3 linked regions of the Canis lupus familiaris genome follow. The protein of the gene in region 1 purifies or fractionates together with the protein of each later gene. This does not show direct contact. Links are inferred from orthologs where the notes say so. Each region holds a gene or a part of one and is shown in the gene's direction. Other genes may lie near its edges.

Region 1 (3,637 bases):
ATTTATTTTTTTTACTTCTCTTTGTTTTTAGTTTCAGAAGCCACTAATGATTCGACAATAGATGATGTGGTTGAAAATCATGTTGCAGACCAACTTTCATCAGATATTACACCAAATGCTATGGATACTGAATTTTCAACTTCTCCAGCCAATTTACTGGAACGACCAACCAATCATACAGAGGCTCTTGGTCATGACCATTTAGGAGCTAATGACCTCACTGTTGGTGGATTTTTAGAAAATCATGAGGAACCAAGAGATAAAGAACAGTGTCCTGAAGAGAGTCTACCAGCATCTTCACTGAACAAAGGAAAGAAATTGATGCATTGCAGAAGCCATGAGGAGGTCAACACTGAACTAAAAGCACAAATAATGAAAGAGATCCGAAAGCCAGGAAGAAGTATGTATAATTAGAGGCAAACCTCATATTTGATTTCTGTGTGTGCTCAAAGAAGAGAGATTAATCAAAAACATAGACCTGATTCTAGATGAGTGCTCAACAACGTAGGAGCTGTATGATTAGGTTCTTTATTCATCCTACAAACACTAAATATCTGCTATGTCCCCAGTATTGTGGTGTAGGGGGGGTGAGCAGGAAGTGCTGAGAGCGGAGCTTAGAGAACACACAGGTCGGCAGCACAGAGTTCCTACCGGGGCAGGAACCTGGTGTCCTTCGTATTTTCTACACAGCAGCTGCAGTGGGATGGAGCAGCAAACCCAGCAAGATGGAGCGAATGTTAGATGACTTCATGTCTATAAAGTTCCTGGCCTAGCGTCCCCACTGTGTTTAGGGTTTAAACTATGATGGTGACCAGGAGGAGTATGTTTAGGCCCCAAAATGGAAGTTACAGAAACTATATATTTCACGAATACAAAAGGAGTTTGTGAGATACAATTTCAGTATTATTGGCACTCATTCAAGAGATGTTGGCAGATCCCCTGTCTGATGGTACAGTGACCCACGATGGTTCAGAAGTGGGCAGGTCAGCCCTTGCCACTTAGAGCTTATAGTCCTTGGCAGAGTTTTAGGTGAAAACCTGAAACTGAAATAGCACTTTCCTCGTTTCTCACCCTGCTCTTTGCCCCTCCCTACCATGGGAACTGTAGTTTAGAGATTAAATTATAAGGATGGAGGTGCCTTGCTGCTGCTTTTTCAGTGGCACTATCAGAAAGCTATTCACTGATTTTTCTCAGTTTTGGGTTTGTTTCTTTATGGGAATTTTTACCAAAAATTCAGTTTAACAAGTTATTTTATCTTTGCTGATATGTGAAATGTGCGTATTATAAAGTTTTTAATGAGTGGTGAAAATTTTACGTAGAATATCTTGGTTTTGTGTACTACATCTTGATATAGTAAACTGCAATAGAAAAATAATAAGAGTGTGTAGAAAAGCCACTTAACTTTTTCTTTTTGCTTCTCTTGTTTTAAGAATATGAAAGGATCTTCACGTTACTGAAGCATGTGCAAGGCAGTTTACAAACAAGACTAATATTTTTACAAAATGTCATTAAAGAAGCATCAAGGTAAAGAATCTATTACACATTTTGAAATGATTATGAAATGAGTCCCCAGCTCACAGTCAGGTTTTTAACAGTACTTATTTTGAACCTGTGATAGTATGCATGTGTATGACACACTCATGTGTATATAAGTTTCTCTTTTTCTTTTTTTTTTTTCTTTTTTTAGTTTATTGAAAGAAGTCCACTTAAAAAATAGCCATGCACAAATTTTTCGCCAACTATGGACCTTTTCTACCTACAGATTACAGATACTTGCATAATTCTCATTTATCCTACTCTGTGGCTTTTGGGGGGGGGTCTTTATACTTTTTAACCTTTAATTTTTTTCCTTTGCATATTTGGGCTATAGTTAATATTAACCAGTGATTAGCAACAACCTCGAAAGACAATATTTGTACGTGGGAAAACATGTAATTAAGGGGAGCAGAGTTGGACAAATGGGCCTTATTCTGATTGCTTCAGTAGCTCAGGATTATGTACTTTAATACAAGGAATGTGGATCAAGATTATAAATGGTAACTATGAAGTGCAGTTAACTGGAAAGCATAGTTGTAGTCGTTTAGGGAGTATAAAAAACACTTTTCTTTCACGATTTCTTTAGTATTCTTTTTTTTTTTTTTTTTAATTTTTTTAAAATTTTTATTTATTTATGATAGTCACAGAGAGAGAGAGGCAGAGACACAGGCAGAGGGAGAAGCAGGCTCCATGCACCGGGAGCCCGACGTGGGATTCGATCCCGGGTCTCCAGGATCGCGCCCTGGGCCAAAGGCAGGCGCCAAACCGCTGCGCCACCCAGGGATCCCTTTCTTTAGTATTCTAAGAAAACTTAGTGTTCATCTTATCTGACCTTCTGAATATACCCACCCTTTAATAATCCCCTAGTTTCGTCCATGCTACACATAAAGGTATTTTTAGTTGGACCAGTTAATTTTTTTTTTTTTTTTGAGTGGCTAGAGCATATGCCACTTTGAAGGTTCAAGATCAGACCATAACTTTTCATGTTGTTTTGAGTATTTCATCTGTTGTTTTCTTTATGTGACATTCTAGCAACTTAGACTTCATGGATTTAGCTGTATTCCTGGTGCCTGCCCTCCATTTTTGCCACCTTGTAGAGAGATGTGGAATATTAGGGTGGCTCTTTATACTAATTTACAAGTAGAGAGGAAGAAGGTATAGATTGGACAGTGTTTTGATATTCTCATATTCTAAAAAGCATTAGCAGTGTTAATACTTCTGTAGACAAATGCAATTTTAAGCTACTATATTAGTGGAAAAAAGTTAAATTACCACTTGAACTGTTGGCTATATCCTATACTACAGATGTCTAATAATCCTTGATTTGCTAACTTTCAAATTGTAATAGTAGAACCCAAGGGTTTTTGTTTTTTTGTTTGTTTTTTTTTTTCAAGATTTTATGTATTTGAGAGAGAGAGAGAAAGTGAGCGAGTACAAGCAGGGGGAGAGACAGGCAGAGGCAGAGAGAGAAGCAGGGAGCCTGATGTGGGACTTGATCCCAGGACCCTGGGATCACAACCTGAGCCAAAGGCAGACGCCCGACCTATGGAGCCACCCAGGCTTCCCTAACCCAAGGGTTTTTTAATGCTGCCATCCAACTGTTCGTTTCTTCTTCTGTCTTGGGATTATATTCATACTTTTTTCACATTCAACATTCAACTTTTAAAGAGCATAGGAAGCTATTGGAGTCATTGCTTTGGAAGTCTAAATTTTGTTAGAATATATGTAACCCTTGTAAATGGTAGGGTTTCTTGTTTTTCTTTTCGGATGTGAAACAAATAACCTGCTTCCATTTACCTGGGCCTGGGTTATTTGTTTTAGGAACAAACTGTAATTCTGCACTGATAAAATAATTTGCTTATCTGCCAATGGATTTTATATATCATAAAGTTGTGTTTTTTCATTTTTATTTTCCTTTGAAAAATCTTCCCAAGGCAGTTTCTATCTTTAAAACGACAAAACAAAACACGAACACTCTGATCTACATCCATTAAAAAGAAATTGAGAGTGCTATTACTTATTTTTTTTATACAGGTTTAAAAAACGAATGCTAATAGAACAACTGGAGAACTTCTTGGATGAAATTCATCGAAGAGCCAAT
Region 2 (4,242 bases), on another chromosome or scaffold:
TGGGTCACTCATTTAGATGCCCATGGTGAGGGCCTGTTCTTCACAGAGACTGCCTAGAATCAAGCTGATGATTGAGCCTGTTTCTGATGCAGAGGTATTTTTCATGGGGAACAAAGGACTAGCTAAGGACAAAGCACAAGCCCTGGGAAGTACATTGACAAGTCCTTGAAACAGGGGGAGTGATGTTCCTCTACAGACTCAACTGCCTTGGTGTTCATACTTTGCTAAGGGCAAAAGGCAAGATTAGCCAGACACCCAGGATCCTGTAAGTCTACTTTAACATATAAAAATTCCTTTAGAAATTCCCTTTATCTCTAAACCCCCAAGATACATATTGGCAATCATCCCACAAGCACGTGGCTCACCAATATACATTTGAAGGGTCTCATGACTCAGGTTTTATTAGACGGTAATAAGTGACCTTTTCTCAACAATAGCTAGCCCCCTCAAGGTCCTGGAAACCTTGCTTCCAAAATTCCTTAGAGTATGCTATCCTCAAACCCCTCCCAACCCCCAGGTATATAATCAGCCACCCCTCACAGGCCTAGGGCAGCAGCTCTTCCTGTCCACGGGTCCTGTCCCCGTGCTTTACTAAAACCACCATTTTGCACTAAAGACGTTTCAAGAATTCTTGGTGGTCGGTTCTAGACCTCACCTATAATTCCAAAACTTCATCAGTGGTAGTGGTAGTCGTATGTGGTTCTGAGGGCTGGACGGCAGTGAACGGGAGACATTTATGCAGAGATCTGCTCTCCAAGGAAAGGGATGTTTTGGACAAATGCTGTTTGACGTGAAAAAGCATGATGTACTGCGAGGGCTCTAATTTTTCAGGGCCACTGAAGTGTAAAACGAGAAGTGGAAGATGCGCCTAAGTACGGTTTAGGAACCAGATTCACAAGGGCCTTGACTATCAGCCTGAAGGGCTTGAGTTTCATCGAGAGAGTAAGGCAAGTCACCAACCTTCGGGGGGCCTCCGCATAATAAGGCAAAAACCTAAGGCTCATTCCCATCTCCTCCCTCACAGAGTTGCCGGCAGTACGTCCACCAGGAACCAGGACCACTGCCTCACAAGCCAAAACTTGCAGACTGTCCGGGTCCTCACATGACGTCACGCACTCCAAGCGACGCATGCACAGAAGCTTTGTGCTGGACCGGCCAGAGGGCAGTCTTTGCTTCCTCTGAATCCCTCCATTTATTGGTTAGGTACAACTGCTCGTCTCCCTCGTCGTTAGCGGCGACGTAGGCGGGTACAATCTTGGTCGCTAAGATACCGCGTACTTCCGTTTCCTTCCCCTCTCTGCTATACTGAGACCGCCGACTTCGTCCCTTCAACCAATGGCAAATGGGCAGTGGGCGGGGCTTCACTTATCCGGACCAACGAAATGCGGGCGTCGCGCGGCCAATGACCGTGGGGCAGCCCCTGTAAAGTGGCTCAGGCGACCCCACGCTCGTCTTCCGTCCTCTGCCCAGCCCTACCCTTCCTGCCCCGGTTTCAGCACGGCGCCGGCTGCAGTCTGACAGGAACGGGACGGAACCAAGATGGCGGCCGCCGACGGCGACGATTCGCTCTACCCCATCGCAGTGTTGATAGACGAGCTTCGCAACGAGGATGTTCAGGTCCGGAGGCTACGGGGGTCTTGGGGAATTACAGGAAGAGGTAATGGGGGCACGGACGGCCCTCGCGGAGAAGGCTCAGTGTTCGCTAGGAGTGGCGGAAGGGGGAGGCGGCCAATCAGCGTCCGGCTTTCACGTTTCCATGTCCCTGGACTGGATGAGAGGGCGCCCGGGATTGGGTGTTGGCCCACTGGAGGGCGGGAGGCAGGCCAGCCTGGAGGCGCCCGGGCCTGCCAAGTGCGCGCGGCGGCCCGGGTCCTGGGAAGCTGCGACTGGGGAGGGGGTCAGGCCACTGGGTGGGGCGGAGGGAAGGGCTCGGTGATTGGCGGCGGCCCCAGAATGGCCTCTTGGGGATGGGGCGCGCGGCCTATTCCGAGTGGGGGAGGGGCCCCCGGTGTGTGGGGGCTCGGGTACGTTTTCTCCTTACTGTGTTCTGGCGGCTGGGCCTCAGCGCCTTGGGGTAAACTCTCGGAATGGGGCTTGAGCGGTGACGGCTGCCCTTCCAATTCCTGCTCTCCCTCCCTTTTCAGTTTTGGTGTAGAATCCACGAGGGGAGGTGCGGCGAGAACACCCCATTCCCACGAGAGCAACTGGCCAAATTTAAGCACGGATTTCGAGATAGAGATTCTCCCGCCTTCTGGGGCCCTGCCGGGCTGCGGTGGGCAGTTGACTAAACAGCCTAGCACATTTCTGGTGAAGGGCTGAGAAGACTGAGGACTCCACGGTTTGCCCACCCCGGCCCTACCTCCCACCCGCCGTGTGACCTTGTGCAAATTACTTCATCGCTCTGGGCCTGTTTTCTCTGCAATGTAGGCTAATAATAGTTCCGGCCTCCCTGGGTGGTTGTGATGGCCTGGACGAGTTAATACTGCAAGTAAAATAGAACGGTGCCTAATTGTTATAAGGGTCCAATAAATGTTAGCTGCAATTATTGGGAGTAGTAATGGAAGAGGTCCCATTCCTTTATAGGAGCTTCCATTTTTCTGTTTATGAAATTGAGCGGATTGCATTAGGCCCAGCCTCTGAAGTTCGAGGTAGATCACTGATTCTGGAGTCAGACAGGCTGCTGCTGTACTTCTTGCTAATTGACATGGGCAAGTTTGTTAATCCTCTTGGCCCTGGCTTTCCTCTTCTCTCAGATGGAGGTAATTATCTGGTTCATAGGGCTCTTGTATGAATTCATTTGTTCAATAAACACCTGCCCCATGTCAGTTATGGTGATAATGGTGACACCAGTTGTTATACAAGAGGCAGATGTGAAACAGCTGAATAGATTATTAACAGTTGTGAGATGTGGGAAGGAAACAGGGTATTGTGATGGTGAATCAGTATTTATTGGGCCTCAGCTCTAGGTAGTGCATTGTTTTAGGCACATGTATACAAAAAGGAACAAGGTGGACAAGAACTCCTGGACTCCTACAACTTTTATGTTGCCTGTGGAGAAACAGACAATAAGACAATTAAGTTAAAATGTATACCATGTAAGATGGCAATAAATGCTTTGGAGAAAAATGAAGCAGGGATGGAGAGGACGGGAGAATGTTACACAAGTTTAGAATGACTAGGCAAGGCCTTATTGAGAAGGGGACATTTTAGCAGAAATGTGAATGAGAAGCAGGCCTCATAGATATCTGGGGGAATAGCATTCCAGGTAAAGGAAGCAAGCGCAAAAGTCCTGCAGCAGGAATATGTAATGCATGCTCTGAGAACTGCAGGAAACCAGTGTGACAGGAGCCAAAGGAATGAGCTGTTGGGTGTCAGGAGATGAAGATAAAAGGGACTATGACTCAGAGGGAACTTGTGAGCAGTCACTTAAACTAGGTGTTGCCAGATCATTGAGCACAGTGGTTAAGAAAGTTTTTGAGATGTTTTATGGTACAGCTTAACAAGTTTAAGTAGCATGAGGACCTGTGGATAGAAAGAGCTGTACTTCTGTATGAAGCCAGTGGTTATATGCATGGTGCTCAAGGGGCAAGGGATGTGGAGGGAGTATTAGATCATAAATGTTTTCGAATTTCTAATTGTAAAACTAATTTCACAAGATTTCTCTGGTATTAACTATTGGTGAGATATAGAGGCACTCTTTAAGAATGTAGCAAACAGGTTTTTTGTCCTTATTGAAACTATGCAGCTCTAGGTCAGCCTTCTGGGCTAAAAATGAACATATTTCTGCTTCTATCCCTCATCACAGGGATTGGCAAATGGCAAAGGGTGGCCCTTTGCCTTTTTATTTTTTTAATAGAGTGTTATTGAAAACACAGACTCTTCCATTTACATATTATCCATGGCTGCTCTGTGAAACAATAGGGTAGAATTGAGTAGTTGCAACAGAGACAAGTTTTGGCCCCTTAACGCCTAAAATATTTACCACCTAGTTCTTTACAGGAAAGAGGATGCCAACCTTTTTTTTTTTTTTTTTTAAGATTTTATTTATTTATTCATGAGAGACAGAGAGAGAGAGAGAGAGGCAGAGACACAGGCAGAGAGAGAAGCAGGCTCCATGCAGGGAGCCTGATGTGGGACTCAATCCCAGGACTCTAGGATCACGCCCTGGGCCAAAGGCGGCGCTAAACTGCTGAGACACCCAGGGATCCTGAAAAATAGATAATTAAACAAAATACGAAAACT
Region 3 (4,233 bases), on another chromosome or scaffold:
GGGCAACTTAACGTGTTTCTCACAGTCCTGGAGGCTGGGAAGTCCAGGATCAAGGTGCCAGCCAGATCAGTTCCTGGCGAAGTCTAACTTGCCACCTTTTCTCTGTGTTTGAATAGGGCAGAGAGAGAGAACTACAATGTCTCCTCCTGTTCTTACAAGGGCACTATTCCTACCCTCCTGGCCTCCCAAAGACTCCCATCTCCAAATACCACACCGGGTGCTAGGCTTCAGCATTTGAGAGGGACACAATTTAGTTCAGAGCTTCTATCTGCGGCATTATGTCCAACCTAAGTTGACTGAGTATTGATGGGAGGGGGCGGGGGGGAGTCACCAGCTAATAGGTGTTTCCAATCTTGGCCTTACACCAGCCCTTCTCTGTACCTATTTAATTCTTTGTATCATGACTCCCTGTCAAGTCCCCTACAGTAGCTATTTCAAATTTTATTCCATTCTTTATCCTTCATAGCATCCTTCCTGCCCTCAGCAGACAACCTTAATCCTTAATTTCCTGAGATGACACAGGCTATGAAGCACAACCCCCTTCAGTACCCTTTCTGTCTGTCTCAGGAAGAGTCACCTCCAGCTAAGGCAAATTCTTTATCTCCTCTCTTACTCTTCAGCCCCTTAAATGGAGCTCCTGCTAAGTTCTATTTTCAGAACCTCTTCTGTGTTATGAGTGGCTGCCCATTCAAACCTTTCTCCAGGCCGTTGTGGGGTGGAGCGTTGGTAATGTCTTAAGCATCCACCCTCTGAGGGGCACTGTGCCAGGCATGCAGAGTCGCGGCGTGGAGATGACTGCCACCCACCCGCCATAACTAGGCAAGCTGCGAATGATGCGTTGAGATAAAAAGCAGCATATCTTCTGCAGTTTCAGAAGAGTATGAGCCAGACTTTGACGAAGTTACACTTCATGTTCTTCCATAAATGTGCAGATTTACTTCATTCCCTTAAAGGCACCCTAGTATCCCTATGGTCGTGTATTCAACGTGGTCTCTGTCAACAGACAATTCGTTTTGTTATCTTTGGCCGTTATGAACAGCGCTGCAGGGAGCGCCCCCGAACCTGTCTTCGCTTACGACTGCGGGCATTTTCGCAGTATGAATTCCTAGAAGTGTTACTGTTGAGTGGAGGGCGTGCGCACGTTCTGCCAATTCCCGCCCGCGCCTGGCTGGCCCCGGTGCGCTTACGGCCGGTGGGGAGTGTAGAACGTGCGGCCCAGAGCCGCGGCGGCCTCCGGGCGACAGGCGGCGCTGTAAGCGCGAGGCGGCGGCGGTGGCGGCGCGGGCCGCGCTGGTCCACTTCCGGCGGCGCGGGCCGCGCTGGCCCACTTCCGGCGGCGGCGGCGGCGGCGGCGGCGCCGACGCCGAGTCCCAGCGGGCGGCGGGCCGGGGGGCGCCATGCCGTATGCCAACCAGCCCACCGTGCGGATCACCGAGCTTACCGACGAGAATGTCAAGTTCATCATCGAGAACACGGACCTGGCGTAAGGCCCCGAGGGAGGAGGCGGGCGGCTGCGGAGCGCGGGGGGCTGGAGCCCGGGCCGGGCCGCAGAGCGGGGCGTCCGCCTTGGCAGGGGTGGGCGCGGGGTGTCGGCGTCGAGGCTGCGGCGCGCTCACGCCGCTTTGTTTGCATCCCTCAGGGTGGCCAACTCCATCCGGAGGGTCTTCATCGCCGAGGTGCCCATAATAGGTAAGCGAAAGCCGCCTGTCGTGGCCAGCCCCCTCCGCACACCTCGGGCCCTGCCCCCAGCCCTTGGTTGGGGCGGCGCGGCGGTGGCTCTGAGAACACAGCAGTGCTGGGCGTTCGCTCGGACCCTGTACCCTTGGCCCGGGGCCGCTAGGGTCCTCTCCTAACGTACGGATCGGCGCAGAGTGGACGGCAGTCTGCGTACTCGGGTGTGAATCCGTCCCGTCTGCTGCACGTAGGGAACGTAGAAGCGCCAGGCAGTGTGCTAGGAACTGGGGACCCAGAGCTGCATAGCGCGGGGTTCTTGCCCTTGTGGAGCGCACGGTGAAGTTGCAGGGCAGAGGCGAATCCACAGATGACACGACTGTGGGGCAGATGTGCATCAGCAAGCAGTTCAGGAGAAGTATGACTGCAGCGCTTGCGGTGTTTGGAGGAACGAAGATCTGCTTTAGTTCCAGCAACCCTACCTCGGGTGTTCTTTATGTGTATAAACATTACAAGTATTTTCTGAATGTTGACTCAAACTTTGGGTTGGAAAACGAAGTGTAACTTCTGGCTGCTGCACTCCCTAAGGAAATGAGCAGGCCCATTGATTGGCAAATGAAAGAACATCACAGTCTGCACTACCGTCATCCCCAGTCACTTCTTCAGCTTGGAGCTTGGAGTGCTGGTTCTCCCCCGTCCCTAGTCATTCCAAGTCTCTGGGTCTCAATTTTATCATGAGTAAAATAAGAAAGTTGTGCTTTATGATGCAGCCCTGATGTTACAAGTCTAAACGGCACTCTTCCCACAGATTCAGTTCTGCAAGTAATACTGAGCACCTGTTACATTGCAGGCCACACTGGGAAAGCCAAAGGCGTTTGAAGACCACCCTCTCTGATTTTTCAAAGCTCTGCAGTAGAGACAAGACATACACAAATACAGCACAAGGCAAAAATATGACAAATGTCTTTAGTCTGGTCAGAGTTTTGTGAGGGAGTATTAGTGTCTGTTTCGTGGAGGTCAGGCAACGCTTGGTTTATAGGAGGCTCAGAGGATCGTAACTTCCCCAAGGGAGGGTAAGGTCATGTGGGGTTGGAGGGAGTAGGAAGACAGAAAAGCTTGGCTCATGGGTCTTATCTGACTTGGGTTGGGGAAGCATTAGCGTAGGACAAAGCAGATTGGGTCCTAAATGTCTAGTCCTCTTCTGACTCCCATTCCCAGTGTCCACACCCTTTATTTGGTAGTTGGCCACTTATGAATTTGCGTATAGGTATTTTATTTATAAATGAATATGTTTTTAAGTCAAGTGTGTGTGTGGGAATACAGTCCTTACCTTTATTAGCTCGTTGCTGGTAGGAATTGAATTTGATACTTACTATGCTGTGCCCGCTGAATTCTTTAAACGTTAGTTGGTTGATAAAAAGACTTAAATTGGGTAATCTGGTCATTGCATCATAAAATGAGATATGGACCATAAGTCTGTTTTTTGTGAGATTTTCTCTATTTTAAGTGCCCATGTAGTTTGTGTTTGATTTGGTGTTGATGTGCATAGCAGACAACATGCTTCCTACAGAAATATTCAGCTCAAGGAAACATGTTCCCAATCCCATGATTAGTATCCCTTAGTATTCTCTAAGTCAGTATTTTGAGTGGGACAGCACACCTCCCCCCCCTACCCTCACCCTGCACTAAATCTGAGTAGGGAAGGGAGCTGTGTTGCATGTGGATCTTGTTAAAATGCAGATCCCTTGTCCCCACTCAAGCTGCAGAATCAGCCTCTGGCTGCCTGGCCCAGGCCTCTGTAATTTAGTAAACATCAGGTGATTTTTTAAATCAGGAGAATAACTGCTGTAAGTCTTTAAATTTGGTGGCTAAACTGCATGTTTGCTTGCCTTATTTTTTAGCCATTGACTGGGTCCAAATTGATGCCAATTCCTCAGTCCTTCATGATGAGTTCATCGCTCACAGACTTGGTGAGTGCTGGGTGTTGAAAGGTGAGAGGGAGGGGGCTGTGCCTGACGTCAGAGGAGGAAGCCTCACTCCCATAAGGATTTCTAGGTTCTCCTTTAGGCTTGGCCATTGCCATTTGGACTTTTTTTTTCTTTTTCTTTTTCTCTTTAATAAAGATTTTATTTACTCATGAGAGACCCAGAGAGAGAGAGAGAGAGGCAGGTACACACACAGGCAGAGGGAGAAGCAGGCTGCATGCAGGGAGCCTGACATGGGACTCAATCCAGGGTCTCCAGGATCACACCCTGGGCTAAAGACGGCGCTAAACTGCTCAGCCACCCAGGCTGCCCGATTTGGACTCTTTAAAGTGCATTTCTGTTTCTTCCAGGACTAATCCCCCTGACTAGTGATGACATTGTGGACAAGCTGCAGTATTCCCGGGTATGTTGTGTGATTGGGTGGAAGGGGCAGGAAGGAAGCAGCCCTCAGAGGCATTTTCCTGACCTCTTACTTCCAGCTGGAGATCATGGAGATGTTGCCTAGAGCCTAAGCAGACACAGGGCCTCAGTTCTGACAGGCCTCAGATTGTTTAGGCTTCAGGGGCATCAGGGAGTC

What was found.
Region 2: the proteins of INTS6 (region 1) and PPP2R1A purify together in Homo sapiens (affinity purification with mass spectrometry; 4 studies listed by BioGRID and IntAct, with this or other methods). This does not show direct contact. The link is inferred for Canis lupus familiaris from reciprocal best matches to the Homo sapiens genes INTS6 and PPP2R1A.
Region 3: the proteins of INTS6 (region 1) and POLR2C purify together in Homo sapiens (affinity purification with mass spectrometry; 3 studies listed by BioGRID and IntAct, with this or other methods). This does not show direct contact. The link is inferred for Canis lupus familiaris from reciprocal best matches to the Homo sapiens genes INTS6 and POLR2C.

Annotation. Positions count from the first base shown.
Region 1 is NC_049243.1:602,042-605,678, forward strand, and holds part of INTS6 (integrator complex subunit 6), read left to right. Parts: intron 1-31; coding exon 32-400; intron 401-1,430; coding exon 1,431-1,524; intron 1,525-3,570; coding exon 3,571-3,637. UniProt on the Homo sapiens protein: Component of the integrator complex, a multiprotein complex that terminates RNA polymerase II (Pol II) transcription in the promoter-proximal region of genes.
Region 2 is NC_049222.1:105,634,085-105,638,326, reverse strand, and holds the start of PPP2R1A (serine/threonine-protein phosphatase 2A 65 kDa regulatory subunit A alpha isoform), read left to right. Parts: upstream 1-1,434; 5' UTR 1,435-1,539; coding exon 1,540-1,617; intron 1,618-1,954; exon of another isoform or gene 1,955-4,242. UniProt on the Homo sapiens protein: The PR65 subunit of protein phosphatase 2A serves as a scaffolding molecule to coordinate the assembly of the catalytic subunit and a variable regulatory B subunit.
Region 3 is NC_049223.1:58,230,499-58,234,731, reverse strand, and holds the start of POLR2C (DNA-directed RNA polymerase II subunit RPB3), read left to right. Parts: upstream 1-1,328; 5' UTR 1,329-1,397; coding exon 1,398-1,483; intron 1,484-1,639; coding exon 1,640-1,689; intron 1,690-3,572; coding exon 3,573-3,641; intron 3,642-4,006; coding exon 4,007-4,059; intron 4,060-4,233. UniProt on the Homo sapiens protein: Core component of RNA polymerase II (Pol II), a DNA-dependent RNA polymerase which synthesizes mRNA precursors and many functional non-coding RNAs using the four ribonucleoside triphosphates as substrates.